Cricetulus griseus: one gene and its partners. The protein of the gene in region 1 interacts with the protein of each later gene in a pairwise test. Links are inferred from orthologs where the notes say so. Each region holds a gene or a part of one and is shown in the gene's direction. Other genes may lie near its edges.

Region 1 (4,004 bases):
AAGTTGCCGGAAGCCAAACTCCCTCTGCTACAATCCCTTCCTGAGAGAGCTACTGCCAAGCTGGTGATGACAGAGGTGTCCAGTACACTGCCTCAGAGAAAGCCTGTGACGGCGATTATTTCTTCTGGGAAGAAAGTGGTTAAGATGGGTGCTGGTGTCAGGCTTCTGGCTTTGAATCTGCTATTACCACTCAATATTGATGCAGCCTTAGATTATATAACCTTTAGCTGGGCATGGTCGCCTTTGTCTTTAGTTCAAGACCAGTTTGATCCTCATAGGGAGCTCCAGGTCAGCCAAGGCTACACATAAGGAAACATTGTCTCCAACAGACAGCAAGCAATTAAAAAAGCCATCTCGCCTTTTCCATACTGTCCTATATTTCCTAGATCACAAAGTATCCTGTACTTTCTCCGAGTAATTATGAGGGCCAAGCTATTAGATACAAGAAGAGAAGACAGGGGCTAGAGAGATAGCTCAGAGGTTAAGAGCTCTTCCAAAGGTGCTGAGTTCAATTCCCAGCACCCACATGGTGGCTCACAACCATCTGCTATGAGATCTGGTGCCCTCTTCTCATGTGTAGATATACATGGAAGCAGAATGTTGTATACATAATAAATAAATAAAATCTTAAAAAAAAAAAAAGAATAAGAGAAGACAGTGACGCCGGGCTTTGGTGGCGCACGTCTTTAATCCCAGCACTTGGGAGGCAGAGGCAGGAGAGTTCGAAGCCAGCCTGGTCTCCAGGATGTGCCAGGATAGGCTCCAAAGCTACACAGAGAAACCCTGTCTCCAAAAACAAAACAAAAACAAAACCCCTCTGTTGGAATGGGGGGGGGGATAGAATGCCAGGCACATGACAAATTACTGGTTTAGGAGTGGAACAAAGGTCTCCTAATTCCCAGCTCAGCCTTCTATCCCTCTTCGAGTCCTCAGAGGTCCTAGAAACAGTCATACACGTCCACAGGGATCAATGGAGAAGCGTATGAAACAAACAGCCAAGCGCCAATCACAGCTTCTGCACTCGAAAGGATACTGACGGGAATCTCTAGACTGTACTGCAGAATTTCAGACCTGCAGCGGGTAGAGACCCTAAAAAGGGAGGCATCTCGGGAATTGTGCCCCGCCGCAATGCATGAAGGGACTCGTAGTTCGTTCCCGCTCACGACTCCAAAGCCACCTTGGCCTCGTCTTTCCCAGCAAGCTCCGCGCCAGCGTTAGCTCTTCATTGGCTGCGGCAGGAGCGGGCGGTCCTGCTGGCAGCGGTTACCCGGGTTTCCGGTGCCCGGCCAGAGCGGGGGACGCCATCGGACGTCCGTGGTGAGGTACGTCTGTTGGCGGTAGGTGGGACGAGCTCTTCTGAGGGTCTGTGGCCCAGCTTGCGTTGGCTGCAGAGGAATAACTAATTCCGTGCGGGGGTCTGTGGCGATGTCGCCGCCTTGCGCATGCGTCCGTGGGGCTAGAGGGCGCGCGGGGTGTGGGTGGCTTCCGCGCGGGCTGGCGGGCGGGCGGGCGCGCGCGCCCGGGGGTCCCACGTGGGGCCGGGCCGGGGGCCGGTGGGGGCTGGAGCGTCCCGCCACGTCATCGTGCGGCGGGGAGCCAATCCCGCGCTCGCGTTCCGAGAGGGAGCGGAGTGGTGCTGCTGGGAAGTGGCTTTCGGGAGAAAGGAGGCCTCTTCTTCACTCTCCTCAGGGCCAGCTCCTCCGACACCCTCCCTGCAGGGACCCTCGAGTCTCCGCCAAGGCCGGCCAGTTTGTTTGAAGCTTGGAGCGCCTGGCGTTGGGATTTCTGATCTAGGTTGTGAAATTTTTTGAAGTCTTGAAAATAGCAACTGTGTCGTCTTCAAAGGATCTACCCGTTTTCTGCCTTTGCAGATCACAATGAAGAACCAAGACAAAAAGAATGGGCCTGCCAAACACTCCAACCCGAAGAGCAGCCCCGGGCAACGGGAAGCGGCACCAGAGGGAGCCCAGGGACGGCCCAGACAGACAGCTCCTGCGGCGGAGGCTGAAGGTTCCACAAACCAGGCTCCTGGGAAGACCGAGGGTGTGTGCCTGCTCTGCTTTTCCAGTGGGCAGAGGGAGGAGTTTCTGGGACTGGCCTCGGTGCTGAGGCCAGTGTTTACCCAGGAAGGAGGAACTATGGAATGAAACAATACCCATTCTGTGTGGGTCTCGTGTTTCCCAGGCAGGTGATGAAGCTTCCCTCCCTTAGCCCTGGAATGGAACCTTGGGAGCATGCTCTGACTGGTTTAAATTAAATGACAACTGAGGCACCCCACAAACAAAGTCATGTTCCCAGAAAACACTTGCCAGTGTGTGGGGGGGGGGTAATTGTCCTTCATACTTGAGACATTTCTGGAACTATAAAAATAACCAAAAATGCGTTTTGAGTAGGAAAAAAAGGAATTAGAGGTGGAGTCTCTACTACATGCCACCCAACCCTGGTGTGGTGCTTTATCTACATAGTTGTCTTTTTTGTTTGGTTGTTTGGTTTTGTGTTTTTGAGACAGGGTTTCTCTGTGTAGCCCTGGCTGCCCTGGAACTCTGTAGACCAGGCTGGACTTGAACTCACAGAGATCCACCTGCCTCTGCTTCCCAAGTGCTGGGATCAAAGGCTAGCACTATTACTTCCCAGCCATAATTGTCTTTTATGGTCATAAGAAGTATGTTTGGGTGATAATAATTGTATCATTTTATAACAAAGTAAACTTAAGGTTTGAAAAAATTAAACTGAGGCTCGGCGTAGTGGCCCTCTCTTTTAGTCCTAGCTCTTGGGAGGCAGAGGCAGGTAGCTCTCTGACTTTGAGGGCAGCCTGGTCTACATAGTTCCGGGACAGTCAGGGCTCTGTAGAGAGATCGTGTCTCAACCAAATAAAACAACATTTATCCCAAACTAGTGTATTTGTCTAGGGTTAAAGAAAAAGAAAGTTCAAGCCAGGGATGTAACCATCTTATTTTCATTCTGTGTCCTAATCTTGTTGCTGTAGGGGCTCAAGCTAAAGCAGCCAAGTCTGGGCCCCTGTGTGATGTGTCTGAGGAGCTGAGCCGGCAGCTGGAAGACATTCTGAGTACATACTGTGTAGACAACAATCAGGGAGGCCCAGGCGAGGAGGGAGCACAGGGTGAGCCTACTGAGCCGGAAGATGCAGAGAAGTCCCGAACCTATGCAGCAAGGAATGGGGAGCCTGAACCAGGGATTCCAGTCATCAATGGCGAGAAGGAAACCTCCAAGGGGGAGCCAGGCTCAGAAGAGGTCCGAGCAAGTGATGAGGTTGGAGACCGAGACCACCGAAGGCCACAAGAAAAGAAGAAAGCCAAGGGTCTGGGTGAGAGGGCAGCTACTGGTGAGGGGAGGGAGTTAAGACCTGTCATTTCATGAGCTAGCCTGCTCTGTCAGAACTCAAAGGAATCTGCTTCTCAAAACAGAACATCCCCCAGTTTAGTCAAAGCCATGACTGTGGAGTAACAGCATTGAGCTGTTCAGATTGCTCACCTGGGCAAGGCCTCTTGTCCTTGGAAGCAAGTGAAGGCAACCTGCTCTTTTCCTGTGGACATGTTCATGCTCCACTCCTGGGTCTTAGTTTCCCTATTTAGAAAGCAACAAAATTGGGCTACACCAAGGTAAAGATCTCAAATGTCAACATTAACCAGGTAAACCATGAACCTCTTGAGAATGAAGAGAGGGTCTACTTTATCCAAAAAATTAACTTCTACCTGTTTAGTTCCCTGCCTTCCCCCCCTCCACCCCCCCCAGGGTTTCTCTGTGTAGCTTTGGAGCCTATCCTGGCACTCGCTCGGGAGACCAAGCTGGCCTCGAACTCACAGAGATCCACCTGCTTCTGCCTCCCGAGTGCTGGGATTAAAGGCGTGCGCCACCAATGCCCGGCTGAGTTCCTTGCTTTCTTTTCTTTTTTCTTTATTTTTAAATTTATTTACTTATTACATATACAGTATTCTGTCTGCATATTTGCCTGCATATCAGAAGAGGGCACCAGATCTCATTTA
Region 2 (3,052 bases), about 18 Mb from region 1:
CCACCTGTGTGCTTCATAAAACTTATAGTTTGCTTTTTCAGTTAATGAAGTGTGTATTATAGAATATTTACATACAATATTGTCGATTACCACTATGATTACCATTATAAACATGGTAATCATACATTCTGGATTTCAGGCATGTCTTGTTGTCTCTAACCATCAAAAAGCCTCTTATTTTAGTGATCATTTGGTCATACTACATAGCTAGTTTCTTAGGTCAAATGAAGTGGAAAAAAAAGAAATCTCGAATACTTTATGTGAAGAATAATTCTTTGCCCAAGCTTGTAAAATTCTTCATTTTGCATGTAACTTTTACTTTTACTGCACAGTGGAATTAGTTATAGTTAATATATATTTAATTTAAAATATTAGTTTTTTATGTTACTTACACAAAAAATTAAAAGTGAATTTTAAACTGACTGTATTTAATAGCCATAGGAGATTTAGACAGAGATAAGTATTAGAAGTGTTCTTTGTTCTCAGTGACTAATAATATTCACATAAACTCTTTATAGTATTGGATAGTAAAGCACCAAAACCAGAGGACATTGATGAAGAAGATGATGATGTTCCAGGTAAATGACATTTTGTTAGTGTTAAGATTTGTCTCAGGCCAGTAAGACTTGCACAAGTTGTCCTCTGACCTACACATGCACGTGCATGTACACACATATGAAATAATACAGTGTCATTTTTTAAACTAAGGAAAATAATTTATCTCCTTTCCCTTTTTGCATAGATGAATTTCAGATTTTTTTGACTGAATTTCATTTGATTTGCAGTGATATGGATAGTGATGGGTTTTACTTAGATATTAGTTGGCTTGGAAGACACTGGAGATGGACCCCTCTCTCATAATTATCAGCCTGTAAAACCAAAGACTGGAACTTAAGGTCAGAAAAATGTTCCCTAAGTTCTATCTCTGGCCATGGAAGGAGACATGACATCCTGAACTGCCATTATATAATACTATCTAAGCCTGGTTCCAGGAATGCTAAACCTTCATAAAAGATTATTGTATAGTAGAAGGCTATCTGATAAAGAACAAAGATACACTATTGCCTTACATCAGTGTCAAACCAAACAGGCCTGTCACTTACCTGAACAGAATACAGTCCCTAAAGAAAAGCTGTTTGTAGCCTGTTGGTGGTGACAAATGCCTTTAATCCCAGTACTTGGGAGGCAGAAGTAGGTGGACCTCTATAAGTTCAAGACCAGCCTGGTCTACATAGTCAGTTCTAGGACAGCCAGAGCTGTTACATAAAGAAACCATGTCTTGAAAATCCACAAAATAAAATTTAATTTTAAAAAGCTGTTTGTTCTGGAGACTTTAGAAATAGTATACAGCCTACCTAAAATGTAGTCTGGGTCAATGGTCCCTTAAGCATTGTCCACACGTACTCCTTGAGTGTGCTCTACTTCTTTATAAATTAATTTACCTGTCTTATATGCTATTTCTTTGTGTTTTGTCTAAATTCTTTAGGCAGAGTTCATAAAGACCATGGAGTACAGACTGAGATCCCAGTGATAGGATATGATGAATAAAAATACAAAAATTTCGTCATTCAGAACTTAGAATCAGAAAATATTCCACAAAGCTCTGTTTCCTGCATGTATTAAATTGAAACCACTCCTATTATCAGTATACATTTTTATTGTTGAAATTTTTTGTTGGAAGGCTAGAGAAATGGCTCAGCAATTAAAAGTACTGGCCTCTCTTCCTGGGGACCTGGGTTCAGTTTCCAGCACTCACATGGTGGCTCACAGCCTTCTTTTACCCAAGTTCTAGGGGATCCATCACCCTCTTTTGGTCTCCTCGGGTACTGTATGCACATGGTACACAGACATACATTCAGGCAAAACATGTATACACATAAAATAATAAAATAATTAAAAAAATTGTTAACATTAAACTGACATAAAAATGTTATTCACTTTTGTGTTTTTACATACATTTTTAAAGGCCATTTCCATAAGATTACTGTTTTATAAAAGTCATTATTACTGAAATGTCATAAGTTCATTTCTGCCTTTTCTGTTTTTTGGCTAATGCTGGTTGCAACTATTTTGATTCATTTGCATTTTTATTTATTTTTTTCCCCTTTCTTTGTCAGATCTTGTAGAAAATTTTGATGAAGCATCGAAAAATGAAGCTAACTAAAATCCTCTGGGGTTTGGAAGCTGGCATGGACTAGATTTAACAATCAGCTCTGTTGTTCCAAAGTTTTACAGACACAGAGAACATCACCTGTTACTAGTTCAGTAATATAAATATTTTGTATATTAATAATGCTGTTTGTTCAGCATTTCTTGGTCATTTGATTTTGCATTTTGCACTTCTTCCCAGGATCTATTCTTTTGGTCAAAATATGAAGTATTGGTACAGTTTGAGGGTGGTTTTTTGTTTTTTGGGGGGAAACTTTTGGTGTGTATGTATATGTATGTATGTATGTGGGTATGTGTGTACACAGTGGACAGCCAATTGGTAACAGTTTTATCTACTCTTCCCTTTTCCCCAGTAGAAATAAAACAAATCTTTACATTTGTTACCTTTTTTTTTCCTAATACTGCACAAAATTGATGAAAAGTAAGTTTCTTTGATTTCAGATCTGAAGAGATTCCTACTGTTGGAATTTTGGTTTTAATTTGCTCAATTAACTTTAACATTTTTTACACACTTCTCTGGATTGAAAATATCTTAAAATATTTTGCCCCCGGGTTGCTGCCAGAGCCGTAAGTCAGGTACCTTTGGTGTGGCTGCCTTAGACTCACTTCTTAATCAGACCCAGAAATACTCCTTTTATTAGCTTTCTTCCTGCTGTCCCCACCCTCCTATTTTGGTCTTGAAATGGACTGGTCAGCCTTTGATAATACTCTTATCTCCTGCCTAGCTTGAGACAGAAGTTCTCCATACAGAGCTGAGAGAGTGCCTAACCCTCTTTTTGTTCTTCACCTTGAACAGCTCCATCTTCAATATTTTATTTCCCTTCACATTTGCAGTTTGGTAGATTTCAAACTGGAATAGCTAGCATGTGCTTGCTAAATAACT
Region 3 (4,017 bases), on another chromosome or scaffold:
TCTATGCAGCTATTTGGATCTGGGGATAAAGAGCCATCCACAGGGAAATCAGCCTGAAAGCCAGCAGTCTGAATACTAAATGCTAACACCATTAAGAGTTGCACTGGTCTGGGGGACTTGAGCCTTTTCTTGGTTTCTTTTCCTGTTTAATCGGAATATACCTGGCTGACCGCAGGCCTTCTTGGCATACCTGGGGGATTTGATCCGATGTCCACACTTGATCACTCATTGACCTTCCAAAGACCACCAATGGTTTCCTCTGTGCATCCTCCGAGAGGAAAGGGCTAGAAGGTGAGGCTCAGAGCTGCTAGCTAAAGGGTTGTTTGAGCAACGGGCCTGGAACTTGTTTTTACATGTTTTTCATTAATTTCTTAATTGCCTTAATGGGCACATGTTACCGTAAACTAAAGGGAAGTCGTTTTTCCTCATTTATTTACAATGAGACAGTTTTGATTGAGCAACCCAGAGACTTTCCAAATCCATTACTCTTGGTGTGCAGGAAGGGTTTCTTTTTAAGCATGGGTCTGGAATGATGTGTCCACTAAGTCGGAGCACAAAGACAGAAACCCCTGTTTTCAAAAGTCTGTTTTGCAAGACCTATTAGAAGACCACAGCCTCATCAGAGCCATGGAAAAAGTCACGTGGGAAAGAGCGAAGGCACACGAACTGAACTTTGCAAAGGAAATTGCCTCTGACACCCCAAAGGACAGGCTGAAGGTGACAGAGAGAGGCCCGGAGGGTCCAGAAGTGAGCCATGCTCTCTCAGGTCTCTGATGCCAGAAGTGAAGACTGACCTTGCCCTGGGTGGCCTGCTATGGGGTGTGGCCTGTGCAGCCACATACACAGTAACTGCCTTGGACCTTGGGATTCCACCATAGAGAAAGCGGAGGGCAGTGTCTCCTAAGACAGGACCTGGGTGTACCTTTGCTGCTGCCCGGTGTACCCGGAGGAGTCCAGGACTAACTGGGGCCCTGAAGATCAGGCCTGCAAGCCAGAGACCCAGAAGCCCCCTGGTTGCCTTGCCTACCAAACTTGTGGTTCGCCCCACCCACTCCGCTGGCTCCGCCCTGCCCCGCCCCACCTCGCCTCGCTCCAGGGGGCGCAGGCGCACACCTGGTGGTAATAAATAGTCTAGGTTCTCGTTGCCCACCACCAGAGAGTAGTTTTTATCAGATATTGCCTTTGCAAATCTTTGCTTCTTGCTCCAGCCGGATGCCATGGCTGAACAGCCGGTGTACAGACCAGAGACACCCCAAGACCCCCAACGCCTGTGGATCTGGGAGAGGCACGTGTACTTGGATGAGAATAAACGAAGCTGGCTGCCCATAGTCCTCAAGGTACCAACCGCCTTGGGGCCAGCAGATGGGGCAGCAGGGGTGTGCCCTGTCTGGGCCTAGGAGTCCTGGTAGCTGGAGACCAGGGAACAGAGGGTCCCTTGTGGCAGAAACAGCTAGGGACGCTGCAGATGAAAGTCTTTGGGTTGGGCCTGGTAGACCTGGAGAGGAGGGTGGGAACACCCTGAGGACAAGGGATAAGGCCCTCTCATACCTAGCCTGGGGTATGACTATCATTTGGGGTGAAACAGGGCTTTCCTAAACCATAAAACTGGAATATCTTTAAGGCATCTAGTAGTATCCATGTTAGTAATAAGATTTAACTTTGTTTCGCTTCTGGAAGCCTCCGGATGGGTCTTAATGAATGTTGGTGTTTTCAAAAGAAATCTCTTCTAGAAGTACTTTCAGGCAGAAATTATTGACATGCCCTCCTCTTGTAAAATCAATGAAGGCTATAAAAGCAGAATTAAAACTGTGGAGACATCGTTTGATAAACTAGAGAGTAGTTGGGGACTAGGGACTGTCTTCACTTGGGAAAGCCAGCGGCTTGTCAACCTCACATTGGGGTGCCGCTACTAGATGGTGCAACCATGATTCTGCAATTCTGGGCTCTTAAATTCTTGCTGTTGTTTTACAATATTAAATTTACATATATCTAGTCTTTTTTTAAGGTTAAAGTCGATGTGTGAAGACAGTGTAGGTGGATTTTTTTTTTTTTTTTTTTTTTTTTTTTTTTTTTTTTTGAGACTGGGTTTCTCTGTATTATTTTGGAGGCTGTCCTGGAACTTGCTCTGTAGACCAGGCTGGCCTTGAACTCTGTAGATCCACCTGCCTCTGCTTCCTGAGTGCTGGGACTAAAGACGTGTGCCACTAATGCCTGGCGTAGGTGGATGTTTTTATTTTGAAGTTGTACAAATTTCTTTTCTCTCTTTCTTTCTTTCTTTCTTTCTTTCTTTCTTTCTTTCTTTCTTTCTTTTTTTTTCGAGACAGGGTTTCTCAGTGTGACAGTCCTGGCTGTCCTAGAACTCTGCTTTGTAGACCAGGCTGATCTCAAACTCACAGAGATCTGCCTGCCTCAGCCTCCCAAGTTATGGGATTAAAGGTGTTCGCCACCACTGCAAGTTATGTTTTACACCCCCAAAACCATGAACCAGAGAGCATTTCAGAGCTGTGGTAGATGTTGTCTGAACAGGAGTCTTGTGACAAACTACAGTACAGAATTTACTTCTCAGGACTGACAGAGACAAGGGAAAGCTATCTATAACAGTGGTTAGACTTTAGAATGTTGGCTAACAGTCCTGAATGCTAGCATGCTTACACAACTGGCACTGTGATCCGAGTTACCAGTTCTGATTTATCTCATAGGCAGAACATTTCACAAAACTATTTTCACCAAGCACAGGTCTGCACCAATGGGTTACAGTGAATGCGGTCGAAGCCCTATTATTGGGAAGGTGGTGCAATGTGACTTGGGTGGCCAACAAAAGGATAACAAGGCTGGTGGGGAGTCCTGTGGGAGAAAGAAACTGGAGGTGGGAAGGGAGACAGTGAGTTGTTCTGTAGAGAGTTGTGAAGTTGGTTTGTATTTGCATGTCATATTTTTGAGTCATTTTGTTTGGAGTGTCAAATTGCATTTGTTTTTCCTGCCCCACCCTGCCCCCCACTCCACCCCTCCACTCCTCCACTCCATCCTCCAACCTGAGTAGTGCTGAGGAGGAAACCTGGGACCCTGTGTAACTTAGATTAGAGCTGTACTGCAGGGCTATAGCCCAGCCATTTGTACAATGCTCTTAACTTTAACTTTTTTTTTTTTAACTTTAACTTTGAAACTTGGTCTTAGTTACTTAGGTTGACTTTGAGTTGCCTTTGTAGCCTTGAACTTGTGATCCTCTTGCCTGAACTTACTGAGTAGTCCATTGCAGGCCTGTGCAACTTGGCCCCATTAGATCTTCACTGGGAGTATCTTATAGAGTTTGATTGTGCAGGGTTTTGTTTGTGTGTTTAGGTGGTGATTTTTTTTTGGGGGGGGGGTTGATTTGGGTTTTTCGTCTTGAATTAGTGGATAAAACTCATTGTTAGGAGCTGGTGAGATGGCTGAAAAGGTAAAAAGGTGCTTGTTACCCAAACTGATGGCCTGAGGTGTGGCAGGACCCCCATGATGGAAGAGAGCTGACTCCTGCAAGTGGTGGTGCATTAATTTTAGCACCTGGGAGGCAGAGGCAGAGGCAGGTAGATAGATCTCTGTAAGTGTGAGGCCAGTCTGGTCTATATAGCAAGTCCCAGGCCAGCCAGGGTGATAGGGTGAGACCACGCTTCAAAACCACACATGTGACCTCATTTCAATTAATAAAACTGGATGTCTGGTCTCCACACTAACATCGGTTTGTGCAATATTTGTTCTTTATAGACATACATTTGAACAAAGGACTGCCTCAAAGGGAGTTACTTCTCTGTAGATTTTGGGGAGGCTTACTGTAGACAGTGAGAACCCCCCCCAAGGCATTGTGCCTAGAAGGAAGTGGCAACAGGAACAGTGGGGGAAGAGGGAGGCAGAGATGCTCTGTGTGTGCTTTGTGGACTTCTATGGACCCTGGGCTCACTCTGCCCGTGAGAAGGCACCAGGACTCCATCAGGCTGGTCTGACTTTTGGATCCCCACCCTGGTGTGTAAAGACAGTAAGTGT
Region 4 (3,933 bases), on another chromosome or scaffold:
TCATCATGGAGGGACATTTCAGCTGCAAACAGATGGTGCTGGGGAGGGAGCTGAGAGTTCTACATCTTATGCAGGCAACAAGTAGTCTGTCTTACTGGGAGTCGCTTGAGCATAGGAGACCTCAAAGCCCACCCTCCACAGTGACACACTTCTTCCAACAAGGCCACTCCTCCCATTAGTGCCACTCCCTTTGGGGGCCATTTTCTTTCAAACCATCACAGGTGGGTGTCAATGGAGAGCTAAACAAAACTTAAAACAGCACCTGTGAAAATTGATGCCACCCCTGCTGTCAATCCCAATCTCATCGTTACTTCTAACCAGAAGCCTGCTTCTGGTTACTGTCTCCATGCCTCTACTCCGTAGGTCTCCAAATCTATATAGTTAACTTATTATTTGTTCCATGAAGTTGGAAAGCAGGAATCCTAACCAGTTTTCACTGCACTTGCCAAACCTGAGGGGCGCGTCCACCTCCACCAAGGCCCGGGGGTCGATGTCGTCCGACAGGACGGCCACCTCCCGCCGAGCGGCGTCGTACTCCACCTGCAGGCCGCGCGCCCCGCGCTCTGCACCGCGCACCGCCACCCGCACGCGCTCGCCGTCCGGGTGCGCCAGGGGATCCAGGGCCCTGACGAGCAGGTGGCAGGGGAGCCGCGTCCTCAGCCGCCAGAACGGGCTCACCCGCAGCGTCCACTGCATCAGCGCCGGGTCTCCGGGCGCCGAGCCCTGCCGCGCCCCGTGCGAGCCCCGGAAGAGGACGCTCGCCCGCCCGCGGAGGGCGCCCGGCAAGAGGCGGCCCCACATGCCCGCTCCGCAGCGCGGGACCAACAAGGCCTCCTCGCCACCGAGATAGAGGCCCGAAGGCTGTAAAGCAAACCCGGTGACAAGTGACAACTTCAAAGTACCACTGGTTAAAACCCTGACCCTGCTCTTCCTCTATTGCCGCCCTTGGTCGGAGGCCGCCGGGATATGTAGTTCTAAAGGTAGCGGATATCCAAGTGCTCCAGGGGCCTTGGAACTACATATCCCAGGAGACAGTGCGCCGGAGAGATAGAGTGACACGAGCTGATTGGTGGAAAAGCCTAGCCGTTGCTCCAATCTCATTGGCCCAAGAGACCCACGGACCAATGGAAAGAGCGGAAGGGCCAGGCTGCACAAGCGGCGCGGCTACCTTGGATACCAAGGACGCGACTCGTTTGGAGAGTGTGGAGTTTGGAGTGAGATTCCCAGGGACTAAAACCCGCGCAGAAAAATAAGAGTCTGAATAAGGACCAGAACCAAGAGAAAGGGTAAGAACGGCGTGTTCACAGACGGGAAGTAGACGCAGAGCTGCCCCCTGTAGGCTGGGCCCCCTCCTCCTCTGCCCTGTAAGGGAACTTCCTCTTGCCTAGAAAGTACTGGATAGAAAAGAGAGCTGGGCTCCTGGCTCTGTCCTAACTGTAAGCAACCTTAAGCCACTCATTCGGTGCCTTTAGGTTTTACTATTTTCTTGTAGAATGACGGCAACAGTATCTCCCTTGCCTTGTGTGGGAGGGTTTTTACAAGGATCCATTGAAACTACAGTTGACAAAGTAGTGCACAGTCTACAAAACGAGTAAAGTGGTGTTTTAGGAATAGCATTGTTTCTAAATTGCTGGGAAATTTTGAGGCATTTGGTCTCGTTTAGATTTTTTTCTTTTTTAATTTTTTTAATTTTAATTAGAAAGATTAGTTTACATGTCAATTTCAGTTCCCTCTCTCTCCCATCCTCTCCTGTCCCCCCAACTAACACCCTACCTATCCTAAACCCTTTCTGCTCCCCAAGGAGGGTGAGGCCTTCCATGGGGGGCGTCTTCAGAGTCTGTGGTAGCCTTTGGGATAGGGCCTACGCCCACCCCCTTGTGTCTAGGCTCAGGGAGTATCCCTCCATGTGGAATGGGCTCCCAAAGTCCATTCCTATGCTAGGGCTAAATACTGATCCATTACAAGGGGCCCCATAGATTTCCAAGGTCTCCTCACTGACACCCTCATTCAGGGGGTCTGGATCAGTCCCATGCTGGTTTCCCAGCTATCAGTCTGGGGACCAAGAGCTCTCCCTTGTTCAGGTCAGCTGTTTTATAGATCTCTTTCACTACAAATGATCCTCGGGGTTAGTGGTAAAAAACTAAAAGTTTTTTTTTCCCATAAGACTTGTGAGGGGAAAGTCTTTTTTCCTGGCCCTATTGGTTTATCTGTGTCACAGGGACCTGGTCCTTCATTTTTGAGGTAAAGATAGAATGTACTAAATAACTCTATAAGGCTTCTTTCCTTCTTTATTATTAAGTAGGCAGTAAAAATAAGGAAAGTGTGGGGTGCAGCCATTATTTCACCCTTGCTTGCCTAGCCTCTCCCACTCTCTACAAACAATTCCCTAAATTCCTTAAGTATAGATAGATAAGTTTGATAGAATGCCAGTCCTATGTATCGGTGTTCACTTTTAATCCTCCAGAATTTGGAAAGCTGAAGCTGAGGATCTCAAATCTGAGGTCACCCTGCACTACATAAAGGGAACTCTGTCTCAAAAAATAAAATAAAATGGTGCCTTTAAAGACAGAAGCCCTCAGCCAAAATGAGGACCCCAAATCTTGGGACCTGAAGTAACAGAGAGATTGGTAGACTGATCTAAAGTCTTCAGCAGTGTCTGTATTATTCCTTTAGTGAAGATTATGGTAGCCTCGGTGCAGCAGCCCAGACCTGCTTCCAGCAGCCCAAGAAGTCCTCTTACCCTTGGGGACTTCCACTGAGGCGAAGCCCTTCCTTGGCTTTACTGCAAAAATTAATGTTGGAATTAGCTAGTATGAAAGAGTTGGAGTTGATTTAAAAAAGAGAGATTTTAAACATAGATTTATGAAGCATAGGGGTTGACAGAGATGATCACTCAGGGAAAATAAGACATGCTCAAGAACACAGGTGTAGGCTTTTCAAAGACATTATACCCTCAAGTGTCTTAGCAGGAGCTCTGGAGAGTCACTCTTTTGGTGGTTCTCAAGTTACGCCTTGAAAGATTTCTTAGAAAGGATTTTAAAACCTTTTCTCTCTTTTTTTCTCAATAAGTTATATTATTGGATGGTTCTAGAGGTGTCCTAGACTGGATTACTGTCCAAAAATAAAACCACGTGTCATAAGAATGGTAGAAGAGGGTATTAACTGTAAGAGGTATTTACTGTAGATAGGGTTTCTGGTGAGATTCCTAGAAAATTGCTGGTTTATAGCTGAGAAAGAAGAAAGGCCTCTTGTGTTTAGGTCTTGGGCGTGATCCATTGCTACTTCAACATTCTAATTTGGAGATATCTCTATATAAAAGAAATGTTACCTTTCTATTGGCACCCTTCATAAATAATGTTGTAACTTCGTTAGAATTCATGATTTCAGCTGACGAGAGGCACTGGTAGCACTCTGAGATGAAGGTTCCTTTCCTTCCCATGTCTCCATCATTTCTGTGGTTCTAGCCTGCCTCTGGAAGATATAAAATACATTTTATGCTAAGCAAGAGCCTGCTCTATGAATAATGTCCTTAGCTTTGTGTTTTATGTGGACATAATTATCAGATTAGTTTTCAAATTATCTTTTTATGAAAACCCATAGGCATATTTTTGAAAAAGTGAAAATGGCACAAGCAAGTTGACGATGAATTCAGATTACTTGTATGATTGCTACATATAGTAAATAAAATGCATCCATAATAAATTATCCTGTTTCTATAGTAATTTTCCCATTCTGAGAAAAATTAAATTAATAGAATTGCCAACTGAGCCCTAATGGCATATGTAATACTATCATTATTTCATTACTTTCAAATAAAGGAACTAAAACTTATTGAAAATTACATTTCTGGTTTCATGAGGTTGAGAACTGAGACTCTGATCGATATTAAAGTTACCAACACCTAACATGTATATATCACATGTAAATAGTGAC
Region 5 (3,362 bases), on another chromosome or scaffold:
GCACAACCTGCAGCAGGTGGAAAGTGGCAGTTCCTGCACATACTCAATACACAGCCCCTGAGCCACTGAGCACTGGGCATTCTGAGTTGCCAAATAGGTGGGCACACAGCACCGAGGGCATCTGGATCTGCAAAGTTTGGTTATGAGAAAAGGTAGGACAAGTCACAATGCATGGATAGGTCTCACTTGTAGATTGACACTTCTTTCCTGTTCTCAATCCAAATGTTACAGGTTTCTTTTCCTCACTTTGCAGCCCCTGCCAACTTACCCCTTATGCTTTGCCCCAGACCCCTTCTACCACTGTCCTAGATAGCAGGAGGCAGATTGCTGAGGTCCCCAAATGGAGAAGGATATAGAGCAGTAGGCTACTAGAAGACTCTGAGAGAGGGCCTCCTAGAGTGGTTGGGAGCTGGTCAAAGAAACAGGCCCACACACAGCAAGACACTGAGGATAGAGCAGACATAGGATGCAAAGGTGAAGCTTTGCAAGGGTGATGTATACTGTGTGGGGTTAATCGAAGGTAAAATCCCAAAATCCTCAATCCTACCATCTTGTGGTGAGCTACGTAGGATTGCCTTTTCTAAACACTAGCAAGATTTTCATTGTAAGACCTTAGTATAGGCTTGAACCACCTATTTTTCCCTAAGGCTATATGGATGGGAATGTGGGATGAGAGGTTTACTGACTACTGAGGCAAAGAACCGGGTTTGCCTCCCCAACTCTTTTCCAGCCAAGGGCATCTTCAAGTCTGCCCCCTCCAATGCCCTCTCACCTGATAAAAGGGGGTTTTCACTATGACATCGCCGATTCCACCGTGCTGCTGTGCAAGGCCCTGGCTGGTGGTCTGGGCTGTCACCGCTTTTGCTCCTATCATTTTTGGCCCAGAGGTTAGGCATAGATCCGTTACTGGAAGAGCTGATGAGGAACAGCAGCTTCTCAAGAATTTTGCCCATTGGGCAGTCGCTGTGCTGGGCTAGTCACTCAGTCTTAAAGTAGTAGAATGGGCATGTTAGAAAATGAATACAGATCATTAGGAAGTGGTAAATGCAAATACTTTTGTGAAGATTCCTTCACTGGGCTTCGTATTCCGGATCATTTGGACTGTCTTCTGAGATTAGGAGTAGTTGGCCTATCTGATCTGGGGATTAGTTTTTAAAATTGGTTTAGGATTTAGCCATCGGCCGCCTTGGTTGGTCAGAATTCCTTGGGGGGGGGTGTTGTGGGAGGGCGGGAAGGGGAAGGAGTGAAGGGATATGAAAGGATTGTTCTTCGGTGAAGAAGTGAGGCTGTGCATTTAGGTGGTGTGGGTAGTGAACAGATTAGTCGAAGGAGACTGCAGAAAACACAAGCCTGAGAGGAGGTCAAAAGCGAACCAACCGCCTTCCTAGCAGAAGCTTCTCAAGACAGGCACAAAGATGCGGTTCACAGCCTGCCCCGCCCCTATCTGGGCGGAAGCTGTTTGCCGGAAGTCGTGAAGCGGCAGCGTATGCGGCGGCGCGGTGAGATCGAAATGGCGACCGAGGGAGATGTGGAACTAGAGTTAGAGACCGAAACCAGCGGCCCAGAGCGGCCTCCCGAAAAGCCACGGAAGCATGACAGTGGTGCTGCTGACCTGGAGCGGGTCACTGACTATGCGGAGGAGAAGGAGATCCAGAGTTCGAATCTGGAGACGGTGAGGTTGACCGGGAGCTTGTATGAGAGGGCTTGAGAACGGGGTAGGGGTGATTTGAGACTGACCCGTTTGCTCCGGCAGATCGCGATAGTGGGAGTAGGCAGTAGGATGGGCATCAGCGACAACACTCACCCAGTCCGCGAGTTGCTTAAGAATGTGATGGAGATTGGGCTTAAATGGATCTCAGGTGCAGGGAATTAAGTGTGGTCTTTTGGTCCCGAGAACACTGGTCATTGTGAATACTTGAAGAATCACGTGGTTTTTATTTTATTTGGTTTTTCGAGACAGGGTTTCTCTGTGTAGCTTTGGAGCCTATCCTGGCCCTCGCTCTGGAGACCAGGTTGGTCTCGAACTTACAGATCCACCTGCCTCTGCCTCCCGAGTGCTGGGATTAAAGGCGTGCGCCACCAACGCCCGGCGTGGTTTTTATTTTTGGTTTTGTGTTTTAGATAGGAAAATTTGGGTCTCATGGTGGTAGGTAACTAGACTCGTGTTTCCTACAGGCTATGTCCGTCATTGGAGACAGACGGTCCAGGGAGCAAAAGGCAAAACAGGAGCGGTAAGTTTAAAGCACACTGTCAGCGTAAGGGGTCCTCATTCTCCAGAAAAAAAACAAGTTTTTAACCAATTCCTGTAGATCTAGGGTTTACAACTTTGTTGTAGTGACACTGTTTTTAGGGGAAGGAAAGCCTCCAGTGGGAGGGGTGGGCACATTTATTTAATATTTTCAGTCAACCTTATTCCACCTGTTTGCAGTGTGAAATTGGGATGTTACTTTTGGGAGTTTATGGCAGAGGTTGAGGATGAAGACAGATGCATATATACACATATATTCACAGGGAAAAGGAGCTGGCGAAGGTCACGATCAAGAAGGAAGATCTGGAGTTGATAGTGAGTAGTAATGCTTGGATGGATGCACAAGAGAAATTCTACTTAATTTGGGTTCCTAACAAGTGGAGTCAGGGATTAGTTGACACTTTTATGCCTGAGAGGAGGCATCGGTGACATGATTTACTCTTTCCTTGCAGATGACAGAGATGGAGATCTCTCGAGCAGCAGCAGAAAGGAGCTTGCGGGAACACATGGGCAACGTTGTGGAGGCTCTTATTGCCCTAACCAACTGATGATGTGCTTTTTCAGACATTCTGGACTGATTTACTGAAATAAAGTGTTTTATTATGCTGTTCTTTTTTTTTTTTTCAGTTTTATCTCAGATTAGATGCATTATATATTTTTGTTGTCATTTTCTATGTTGGACCTTCATGAAATTATGAACAGTCAATATAAAGAAGTACCTAACGTTTAAATACAGGCTCTATTATTATTATGCTTATTTTGTGTATGCGTCTGGGCATTTTCCTGACATTGTGCTTGATGTCAGATGACAACTGTACTTCCACCATGTGGGAATCGAACTCAAGTGCCCTTTTCCAAAAAGCTTTTCACCAGCCTTAAATAACATTCTAGGTGGTATGCTAGTCTCATTCATCTGACTAGCTCTTGGTAATATAGAGTACATTGGTATCCTCTGTAAAAGATCCAACTACATGTGCTTCTAGGATAGTTTGTGCATTTTATTTTTTTCAGATAGGTTCTTCCTGTGTAGCCCAGGGCGTTCTCAAACTCAGATGCCTTCACTTAATACTTGAGAGCTGCAATTTCAGTCACCTTTCCCAACTCTCTAGGCTAG
Region 6 (3,945 bases), on another chromosome or scaffold:
GGCTCCTGCCCTAGTCTAGGAGTTCCTGGAAGCTGAGAGTTGCTGGAAGTCAAGAAGAGAGTTGGATTTTCTTTGGAGGTGTGGCCACCTCCCACACCCCAGTACACCCATAAGTACACAGGCAGCACTAATTAGATTCATGAGTTATTTTTAAAAAGAGGGGAGAGCATAAGTTGGATGGGAAATGTGTTGGGGGCTTCTGGGGCAGTTGGAGAGCGAAGTCAGGGTAGATGTTATCAAGATACATTATATACATATATGAAATTTCCTAAAACTACTATTGAAAGTATTTTCAACTCCAAAATCAACACCTATACTCATTTACTTATTCACCACATTCAGTTCTCAAACTCCGTGTGTGTGTGTGTGTGTGTGTGTGTGTGTGTGTGTGTGTGTGTGTGTGTGTGTGTGTACTCACGTGCCCATGTAGCAGGCTGGTGTCAAACTTGCAGTAATCCTCCTGTCTCTGCTTCCCAATTGCTAGAATTACAGGTGTGCACCAGGACACCCAGCCTCATACAAGATATTTCAACAGACTAAAAATATAAGTTCTAAACAAGGATAAACTCAAAAGCAAATTTAAAAAAAAAAAGAGCATAAAACAGAGGTTCTGAAAAGCAGCTCGTCATTGGAACAAGCCTTTGTCTGTTCTCACCAGTATGACTTACCATTGTGTTCCCACAGCTGTCTTGTTCAAAGCCTGAATTATTCATATAGATTGTAAATATTCTTTATTTGTACACGGGGATGAAAAAAAAACCTGCCAGGGCAGGTGCAAGATCTGAAAGAACACCCCTTCCTCATTCTTTTTGATACTTGTGTTCATTAAAAAGAAATCACCACTCCCTCCTCCCCCCGCCCAGCGCGCGCGCGCACACACACACACACACACACACACACACACACACACACACTAGAAAAGCCTTAATAAAGTGTCTCTAGTGGTCATTTCTGGAATAGGATGAAACATATTGCTGTACAAAAGAGGGGGAGGTAGCAAAGTGGACTGTGTCATTCCTGAGGTGACAAGGCAGCAGAGGAGGAGTGTCTCTCCTGAACTCTATAAAAGGTCAGCTCTCCAGCACCAGAGACAGACAGGCTGTGCTCCAACTCCAGGCTACAGGTGCTGCCTCCCAGGATCCCAGATGGATTTCAGTCGTCGAAGTTTTCACAGAAGTCTGAGTTCCTCCTCACAAGGCCCAGCACTTAGCATGAGTAGCTCCATGTACAGGAAGGGGAGCGCCCAGCGCCTGGTGGCTGCACCCAGTGTCTATGGTGGGGCTGGAGGCCACGGCACTCGCATCTCTGTCTCCAAATCTGTAGTGAGCTATGCGAGTGATCTCTCCAGTGGAGGGGACCTGTTTGCTGGCAATGAGAAACTAACAATGCAGAACCTCAATGACCGCTTGGCAAGCTACCTAGAAAAAGTGCGGTCCCTGGAGCAATCCAACTCCAGACTTGAAGTCCAGATCAAGCAGTGGTATGAAACCAATGCGCCTAGCACCATCCGGGACTACAGTCCCTACTATGCACAAATCAAAGAGCTGCAAAATCAGGTAAGTCATGGACCTGTGTTTTCGACATTACTGTTTAGTAGTATACTAGATTAAGGGGGGGGGGGTTGTGAGTGTATGCTAGGCGAATTCAAACACGTGAAGCAAATTAGGTTGAACTTTATAGCTGAAAAATCTATTTTATCATGTGGCATTAGTGTAAACAGGATGCGTTTAACCCACCTAATTACATATAAAATGTGATGATCTTATCATCCAAAATTACAGCCTGTGTCTTTGTCGTGGCTTCCAATGTCAGGTCTTCATGGAGAATAATCTTATTTTTAAAAGAACTCCAAGGGTTTCTATGTGAGTTTCCCACTAGTCTTCACCAACTTTGAAGACTCAGATCAATTTAAAGAGATTTTTCTCTTTTCATCCATATAAATGTTACAATTCAAGTGTCATCCTGCTATGGGTATAAATATTACAAGGGTTCAGAGTGCAGACAGACTACAGATATTATAGTGTCTGTATTGACTGACAGATGGGTAGATGATGGGTGGTAGGGTGGATGGAAGGAACAGCTTTTGAATACAAGATCTCCCTGTATATCCCAGGCTAGTCTGCACCTCACCGCTCTCCTGCCTCTACCTCCTCAGCACTGGGATTAGCCACCATGCTCAGTTTCGCTAAGTGGATTTTTTAATGTCCTGTTTAAGTTTCTGCTGACCATCATCAAGCATTTTATAAAGCACTTCAGCAATAATAAAATGTTCTATTGCCCCCAATTCAAATTTATTACAATCATATCACAATCTGTTCCTGTGTCATCCAAGATAGGTGGGGTTCTCTCTCTCTCTCTCTCTCTCTCTCTTTATAAACCCAGTGGACTAGAAGTGGGAGACTTTGCTCCGGGCTGACAAGGTCAAGCACAGCACACCATTTGCTTTGCTTCAGCATTCTTATCTAATCAAGGAAAGTGTCCCTTTCTGGTTTGCGTATATTTAAAATGATTACCCCTTTAGAGCAAAGGCCATTGACTTGGCCCGAAGGCCTCTTTGCTGGAGCTGTATTATAGGTACCAGTGCAGCCTGATTCAGATTCACAGAAACAATCAGCTCAGGAAGCTAAGGTGGTTACATCACCCTCAACAGGGAGTTCCTTCAGGCTTTCGCTGAAACACATTCAAAATGATTGTTCTCCAGCACTGCTCTCAAGGTTGATGCTTCTGAATTGACTCGGGGATTACCCATGATACCTCAGAGCAGCCATTAGTACCTTCTAGCTGGAAGCCTCTCAAGGGACCTCTCTCCAGGAATAGCTACTGAAAGAGATGTGTCATTTTCATGTCTTCTAGAAGTAGACTTCCCGTCTACATGCATCTTAAAGAATACAGTGCTTGTCTTTCAAGTACAAGAACCTGAGTTCGATCCCCAGAACCCAGGTTAAAAAAAAAATTGGAGAATGATGGTGTGTTCTTGTAATCCCAAGATCCCTGGGGTTTGCTGGTCAGCCAGCCTGACCTACTTGATGAGTTCCAGGACAATGAGAGACCCTGCCCCTCCCCCAAAAAATGTGGACAGTACCTAAGGAATAGCATGGAAGATTGTCCTCTGACCTACACATGTATATACCTGTACATATGAACACAGAGAGAGAGAGAGAGAGAGAGAGAGAGAGAGAGAGAGAGAGAAAACCAGGGTGTGTCCATCCTTCCATCCTAATGCCTAATGCCTACCAGATGGCAAGTTGTCATTCACTCACTGTTTCATAGACACTAGCTGGGTACTGAGCATCACACATAGAAGAATGTGTGGGTAAATAAAGTGTAAGGTGGAGACAGGCCTGGACCAAAGCAACTGTCACTCAGGTAAACGCAGGAAGGCTGTACAGAGCCACAGAAGCAGGGACACGGCCCTGCTAGAACTGGGGGATATCATTGAAGGCCCCCTTGAAGCCACGGTGTCTGAGCTGAGAGCTGAAGGCATAGGAGCTCCCCAGGTGAGGAGGGCTAACGGCAATATTCCAGGCATGAACATCACCACAGACAAGACACTCAATAAGGTTCAGGGATATGGATGAAGTCCAACTTCTGTTTTGTACAAAAACAAGAAAGTGGGTCAGACCAAGAGTCCTGTTTTTAACTATTACCTCAATACCTGTGTCACTATTGCACCTAATTACTCTCACACTTTTGAAACGGACATCGCTTTTGATGTAATTACAGTTGTCTCTGAGGACAAATGAGATCTTTTTTATCTCCAGCCCTGATGAAAATGTCATTCTTTCTCTCTCTTATGCTTTCCAGATTAAGGATGCTCAAATTCAAAATGCTCGGTGCGTCCTGCAAATTGACAATGCTAAACTGGCTGCAGAGGACTTCAGATTGAAGTAGGTTCCCTACATCACAGTGACTATAGGTGTGTGTGTGTGCAAGTGTGCGTGCGTG
Region 7 (4,233 bases), about 120 Mb from region 1:
AAATTGACAGTGTTGATCTTTGTGTGTGGTTGGAGCTTACTCTCAGATACACATCCTTGTGGCCCCTGGACTTCATTCTAAAAGCAGACCTGGATGTCTCCTTGACAGCTTTGGTATAGATCATTCTACTGCCTTTTATCCAGGGCCCCCATCTTTGTCATCAGTCATACATGACTTTAGCCTCTGTGAGACTCAGTTTCCTTACTTACGAGATCAGTAGTTGAGAAGTGGACTATAGATTTAAAATCTCTTAGAAACTTCTTAGTTTAGCATTCCTGTCAGCCTCTTGACTATGGTATGTCATCTGCAAAAGTCAGGTAGGGGAACACACATAATGTGGCTTTATGCTAGGCTACATTCATACTTACTCTCATCGACATGTAGTCACAGTCCATAGTTAGACATGGGAAAACATCTGTTGGATCTGCCTCCTGCTCGTCAATAAATGATGCACCTGTCAATGATGTATAAATTCATCTTTTAGGAATTCCTTCTTCCCACAAGGTCTAGACACTCACTGTCCATTGGATAATTAAAAGTCCCCAGTGATGATTAAAAGAGCCCACCAACTCACAGGTGTTATATGTGAGGTTATATTGCGTGACCATGGACATCCATTTCCCTATCACAAGCTACCATACACTATACTCATCATTTTTCTGTCATTTTCTTTAATTAATTTCACTAATTAAATAACTACCAAAAGTGATGGTGTCCCACCCTCTCATTCTAATTCTGTTCGGAGACGCTTGTCCTGGTGCTAGCCATGAAATGCTCACCAGGTCTACGAGGGCAGGAGTAATAGAGGAGAAAGGGATGTTGGGTGGAGAAGAGGAGGAAGGAGGGAGACCAGCACAGGCTAATCTACTGCTTCTCTGTAAGGCTGGCACCCATACTGTGTTGCAGAGGGAGGGAGATCCTGATCAGATCTCAGTGTGTGGGAAGAAGGTGAGATAAGAAAATGCATTTGGGGATTAAGAGAAAACAGCAACAAAGTTCCCTGGAGCGTGTAGCTGCTTAACAACTCTCTAGATGAGTTTGTGACTATCCCCAAACGAATAGTGGTGATGCAGGATGAACCTCCGAGAATCCTGAAGAAGACTCACACATACGTTAATTAGCCTGTCTCTGCTAATTTCCTCTGTTTCCTTTTTCACTGTTTTTACCGTCTTCCTTCCTGCTGGATCTCAAGTCCTTTTGTTTTGTTTTGTTTTAAATCTAACTCGCTTTCATTTTTTAGCTAACTTAATATAATATGCACTTCACATCCTCTATAGGGATGAATATATACATCAGAGTTGTTTATATCTCTCATTCATTGGGAAAGCAAACCAAGCAGCCTGCCTTCTGCAGAAGGCTATAATTATTGTTCAAATTTAAAGAGGCATTAAAAGGAAATTCAGTGAAGGAAGCATTCTAATCTTGAATCTTCTTCACTTTCAGCCTACAAGGAAAAAATGAAGGAGCTGTCCATGCTGTCACTGATCTGCTCATGCTTCTACCCGGAGCCTCGCAACATCAACATCTACACTTATGATGGTGAGTAGCCTGCAGCAGAGACACCCCTAGCTGCATAATTGACATGCGTTTGAATATATGTGCTTCTCTCTCAGAGCTCCTAACAAATTAGATGAGCATTTTATAGATCTCAGTGTTAATTTGCTGTGTCCAGCCATTAGGTCTTATTGATTGCCTATTGCTCACAACAGTTTGAAGTCAGTGCTAATCAGAGCACATTAATGTCTCTTAAGAGGCATGGCTGGCTTGTTCCCAGCATCCTCATCAGCATCCTCATCAGCATCCTTATCAGTATCCTAAGCAGCAGCAGCAGCAGCAGCAGCAGCAGCAGCAGCAGCAACAACAACACACCATGATCTACAGGATGTCTTTTCAAATAATGAAATACACTAAACTACAATTACAGTAGACCTTAATTTGCAAAAGACTATTTTTTTTACATAGATCATTCAAGTAGTAGAAAACCTACCATCATCACTATTTCTCTTTGTACAGAACCCATGTTTTGTGAGTAAATGAAAACAAGCTAATAATGATAATTAAATTCATAAATAAAATTGACTTACGACTAAAGTCACAAGCAAAGAGGAACTAAGTAGAAAATAATGTAACACCACCTGTGATGGTTCAGACTTAAAATTCTAGCACTAAGGAGTCTGAAGGAAGAGGATTGCAAGTTCAAGGTTAATCAAGAGAACATAAGACCCTGTTTCAGAAAGCTAAATAACACTCTACAGTTGGCATGACCATTGGCATTATTTTCTGTTTGTGTGCTTGTTTACTTTATGGGGGTTTTTGTTGTTGTTGTTGTTTTGTTATTTGAGAAAGGGTCTCTCTGTGTAGTCCTGACTGTCCTGGAACTCACTGTACAGAACAGGCTGGCCTCAAACTGAGGAGATCGTCCTGCCTTTGCCTCTCAAGTGTCAGGATTAAAGGTTTGCACCACTGTGTAGGGGTGCCAATTGACTTTATTGAAGTGCAACCTTTGAAGTTTGCTTTATGCCAATTCATGATGATTAGGCTAGTTTGGTTTCATTTCTGGATCTTCCAATGTATGTGCATGGCCCCAGGCAAGAGGATACTTAGCTCTTTGAACATCATTTACTCTCTCCTTCTAAGAATTTGTGGAAAAGGTATTTCATGTCATAGCCTGCTACCTAAGAGGAACCCAGGAATTATTCTGTCCTTATCAACACTATTAGTTAAAACCTCACCTAATTCAGCCAATAATGCAATCAAAATAGGGCAGTTATCTGTGCCAGATCTACCTGTGGCATTTTGATGTATGAGAGGCTCACAGTTATTCTGCCTAACCACATATGTAAAGATCATTAAAAAGAAGAACTCAGAGCCATTCTTCTTCCGGTGCTGTTCTGATGACACAAGCATTAGAAGGGCTAATTAACTTTCCAGAAGCAGCTGTCTCTGTATGCATGTAAGCAATCCATCTCCAACCAAAACTTCCACTAGAACGCATGCAGCATGTCCAGTTCCTGTAAGTGCACTGAGTTAATAAATCAACTACATAGATCCGTACTATAAGTCAGATGTGCTGTTAGTAGGAATCCAACTGTGTTTAAGAGACTATAAAATCTTTGCTGTGCTGTCACTGAGATCAGATGATGAATTCCGCATGGTCCTTGCCTTCCTTGGACTTGGGGCTCTGTAGAAGAGTCTTGAAACACACAAGGAGAGCACCAAATTGTTGGGACCTGAGAGCGAGGGTGGTTTCTACCGCTTTGGGACTGAGAGGCAGGAAAGCAAAGCTATGTGAGCTGTTTGAAGCCGAAGAGACAATTCCATATCACTCACACACCACTTCAAAAATACTCAGTAGAGAACTTCATATTTCCAGAGTGTTTACTTGGCCTTGTATTTCTGCCTTGACAGTAATTGTATGAACAATGTTGAGATCACATGAAATGCTCTTCCTGGAGCATTCATGAAAGTATAACACCATGCATCACAGTAAGAGATTTGGCCATTGAATGCGCGAGAATCCCCTGGAGGTCTTGGAACCACTCTGGAGGGTAACAAGAGACAGCTACACTTGAAATATTAGTGACACATAACAGTTGCTTAATCCCAAGAAGTTTCTGAATGCAAACAAAGATCAGTGGACTGAGACCAGAGGGTTGAGGTGTGGGGCTCAAACCAAACTACTAGGTTAAAATTGACCAATGAAGTTTTAAAGAAATCAGTAGATTTTCCTACATTGTGAGCTATGAAGTCATAAAAGTACTCAAAGACACTGCCTATTACCCATTTTATGTTATAGATTATTTTAGATTATAGATGATAGTGCAGGATTAATATATGATAATAAGCCTATTAATCGTATGTAATATGATTAAACCTTGAAAGTCTGGTAATCTACTTGTTGTTAGTATATATACCAATAATTAACATGGCTAGCAATTTTCTGTATTCTTTTGTTTAGTTAGCAATGAAAAATTATATGTTTACAGTAACCTTTTTTAAAAGATTTATTTATGTATATGAGAGCTCTGTCTTCCTGTGAGTCTGTACAACAGAAAAGGCATCAGATCCCAGTATAGGTGATAAAACGAGTGTTATTCCCTCATTAAAAAAAAAACAAGAACAGATGTAACTGGAGATCATTAGTAAAATAAATCAAATTCAGAAAGTCACATATCTCATTTTCCTTCATATGTCTTCATGTAGATATATATATGATATATATATATGATATAA

What was found.
Region 2: the proteins of Txlna (region 1) and Btf3l4 interact in binary tests that used the Homo sapiens proteins (3 or more experiments, as listed by UniProt). The two-hybrid records come from large-scale screens. The link is inferred for Cricetulus griseus from reciprocal best matches to the Homo sapiens genes TXLNA and BTF3L4.
Region 3: the proteins of Txlna (region 1) and Tcl1a interact in binary tests that used the Homo sapiens proteins (3 or more experiments, as listed by UniProt). The two-hybrid records come from large-scale screens. The link is inferred for Cricetulus griseus from reciprocal best matches to the Homo sapiens genes TXLNA and TCL1A.
Region 4: the proteins of Txlna (region 1) and Ccdc146 interact in binary tests that used the Homo sapiens proteins (3 or more experiments, as listed by UniProt). The link is inferred for Cricetulus griseus from reciprocal best matches to the Homo sapiens genes TXLNA and CCDC146.
Region 5: the proteins of Txlna (region 1) and Hypk interact in binary tests that used the Homo sapiens proteins (3 or more experiments, as listed by UniProt). The two-hybrid records come from large-scale screens. The link is inferred for Cricetulus griseus from reciprocal best matches to the Homo sapiens genes TXLNA and HYPK.
Region 6: the proteins of Txlna (region 1) and Krt20 interact in binary tests that used the Homo sapiens proteins (3 or more experiments, as listed by UniProt). The two-hybrid records come from large-scale screens. The link is inferred for Cricetulus griseus from reciprocal best matches to the Homo sapiens genes TXLNA and KRT20.
Region 7: the proteins of Txlna (region 1) and Stmn2 interact in binary tests that used the Homo sapiens proteins (3 or more experiments, as listed by UniProt). The two-hybrid records come from large-scale screens. The link is inferred for Cricetulus griseus from reciprocal best matches to the Homo sapiens genes TXLNA and STMN2.

Annotation. Positions count from the first base shown.
Region 1 is NC_048595.1:23,393,078-23,397,081, forward strand, and holds the start of Txlna (alpha-taxilin), read left to right. Parts: upstream 1-1,204; 5' UTR 1,205-1,322; exon of another isoform or gene 1,323-1,337; intron 1,338-1,871; 5' UTR 1,872-1,877; coding exon 1,878-2,043; intron 2,044-2,986; coding exon 2,987-3,325; intron 3,326-4,004. UniProt on the Homo sapiens protein: May be involved in intracellular vesicle traffic and potentially in calcium-dependent exocytosis in neuroendocrine cells.
Region 2 is NC_048595.1:40,982,015-40,985,066, forward strand, and holds the end of Btf3l4 (transcription factor BTF3 homolog 4), read left to right. Parts: intron 1-518; coding exon 519-578; intron 579-2,117; coding exon 2,118-2,164; 3' UTR 2,165-2,552; downstream 2,553-3,052.
Region 3 is NC_048598.1:189,486,419-189,490,435, forward strand, and holds the start of Tcl1a (T-cell leukemia/lymphoma protein 1A), read left to right. Parts: upstream 1-1,217; coding exon 1,218-1,337; intron 1,338-4,017. UniProt on the Homo sapiens protein: Enhances the phosphorylation and activation of AKT1, AKT2 and AKT3. Promotes nuclear translocation of AKT1. Enhances cell proliferation, stabilizes mitochondrial membrane potential and promotes cell survival.
Region 4 is NW_023276806.1:173,067,771-173,071,703, forward strand, and holds the start of Ccdc146 (coiled-coil domain-containing protein 146), read left to right. Parts: upstream 1-1,133; 5' UTR 1,134-1,286; intron 1,287-3,933. Other genes in the region: protein FAM185A, read right to left, coding at 447-801. UniProt on the Homo sapiens protein: Essential for sperm flagellum biogenesis and male fertility.
Region 5 is NC_048599.1:56,958,989-56,962,350, reverse strand, and holds Hypk (huntingtin-interacting protein K), read left to right. Parts: upstream 1-1,464; 5' UTR 1,465-1,486; coding exon 1,487-1,672; intron 1,673-2,175; coding exon 2,176-2,231; intron 2,232-2,511; coding exon 2,512-2,563; coding exon of another isoform or gene 2,564-2,571; intron 2,572-2,700; coding exon 2,701-2,796; 3' UTR 2,797-2,862; downstream 2,863-3,362. UniProt on the Homo sapiens protein: Component of several N-terminal acetyltransferase complexes. Inhibits the N-terminal acetylation activity of the N-terminal acetyltransferase NAA10-NAA15 complex (also called the NatA complex).
Region 6 is NC_048600.1:113,147,879-113,151,823, forward strand, and holds the start of Krt20 (keratin, type I cytoskeletal 20), read left to right. Parts: upstream 1-1,145; coding exon 1,146-1,556; intron 1,557-3,804; coding exon 3,805-3,887; intron 3,888-3,945. UniProt on the Homo sapiens protein: Plays a significant role in maintaining keratin filament organization in intestinal epithelia. When phosphorylated, plays a role in the secretion of mucin in the small intestine.
Region 7 is NC_048595.1:139,266,434-139,270,666, reverse strand, and holds the start of Stmn2 (stathmin-2), read left to right. Parts: upstream 1-1,433; 5' UTR 1,434-1,457; coding exon 1,458-1,539; intron 1,540-4,233. UniProt on the Homo sapiens protein: Regulator of microtubule stability. When phosphorylated by MAPK8, stabilizes microtubules and consequently controls neurite length in cortical neurons.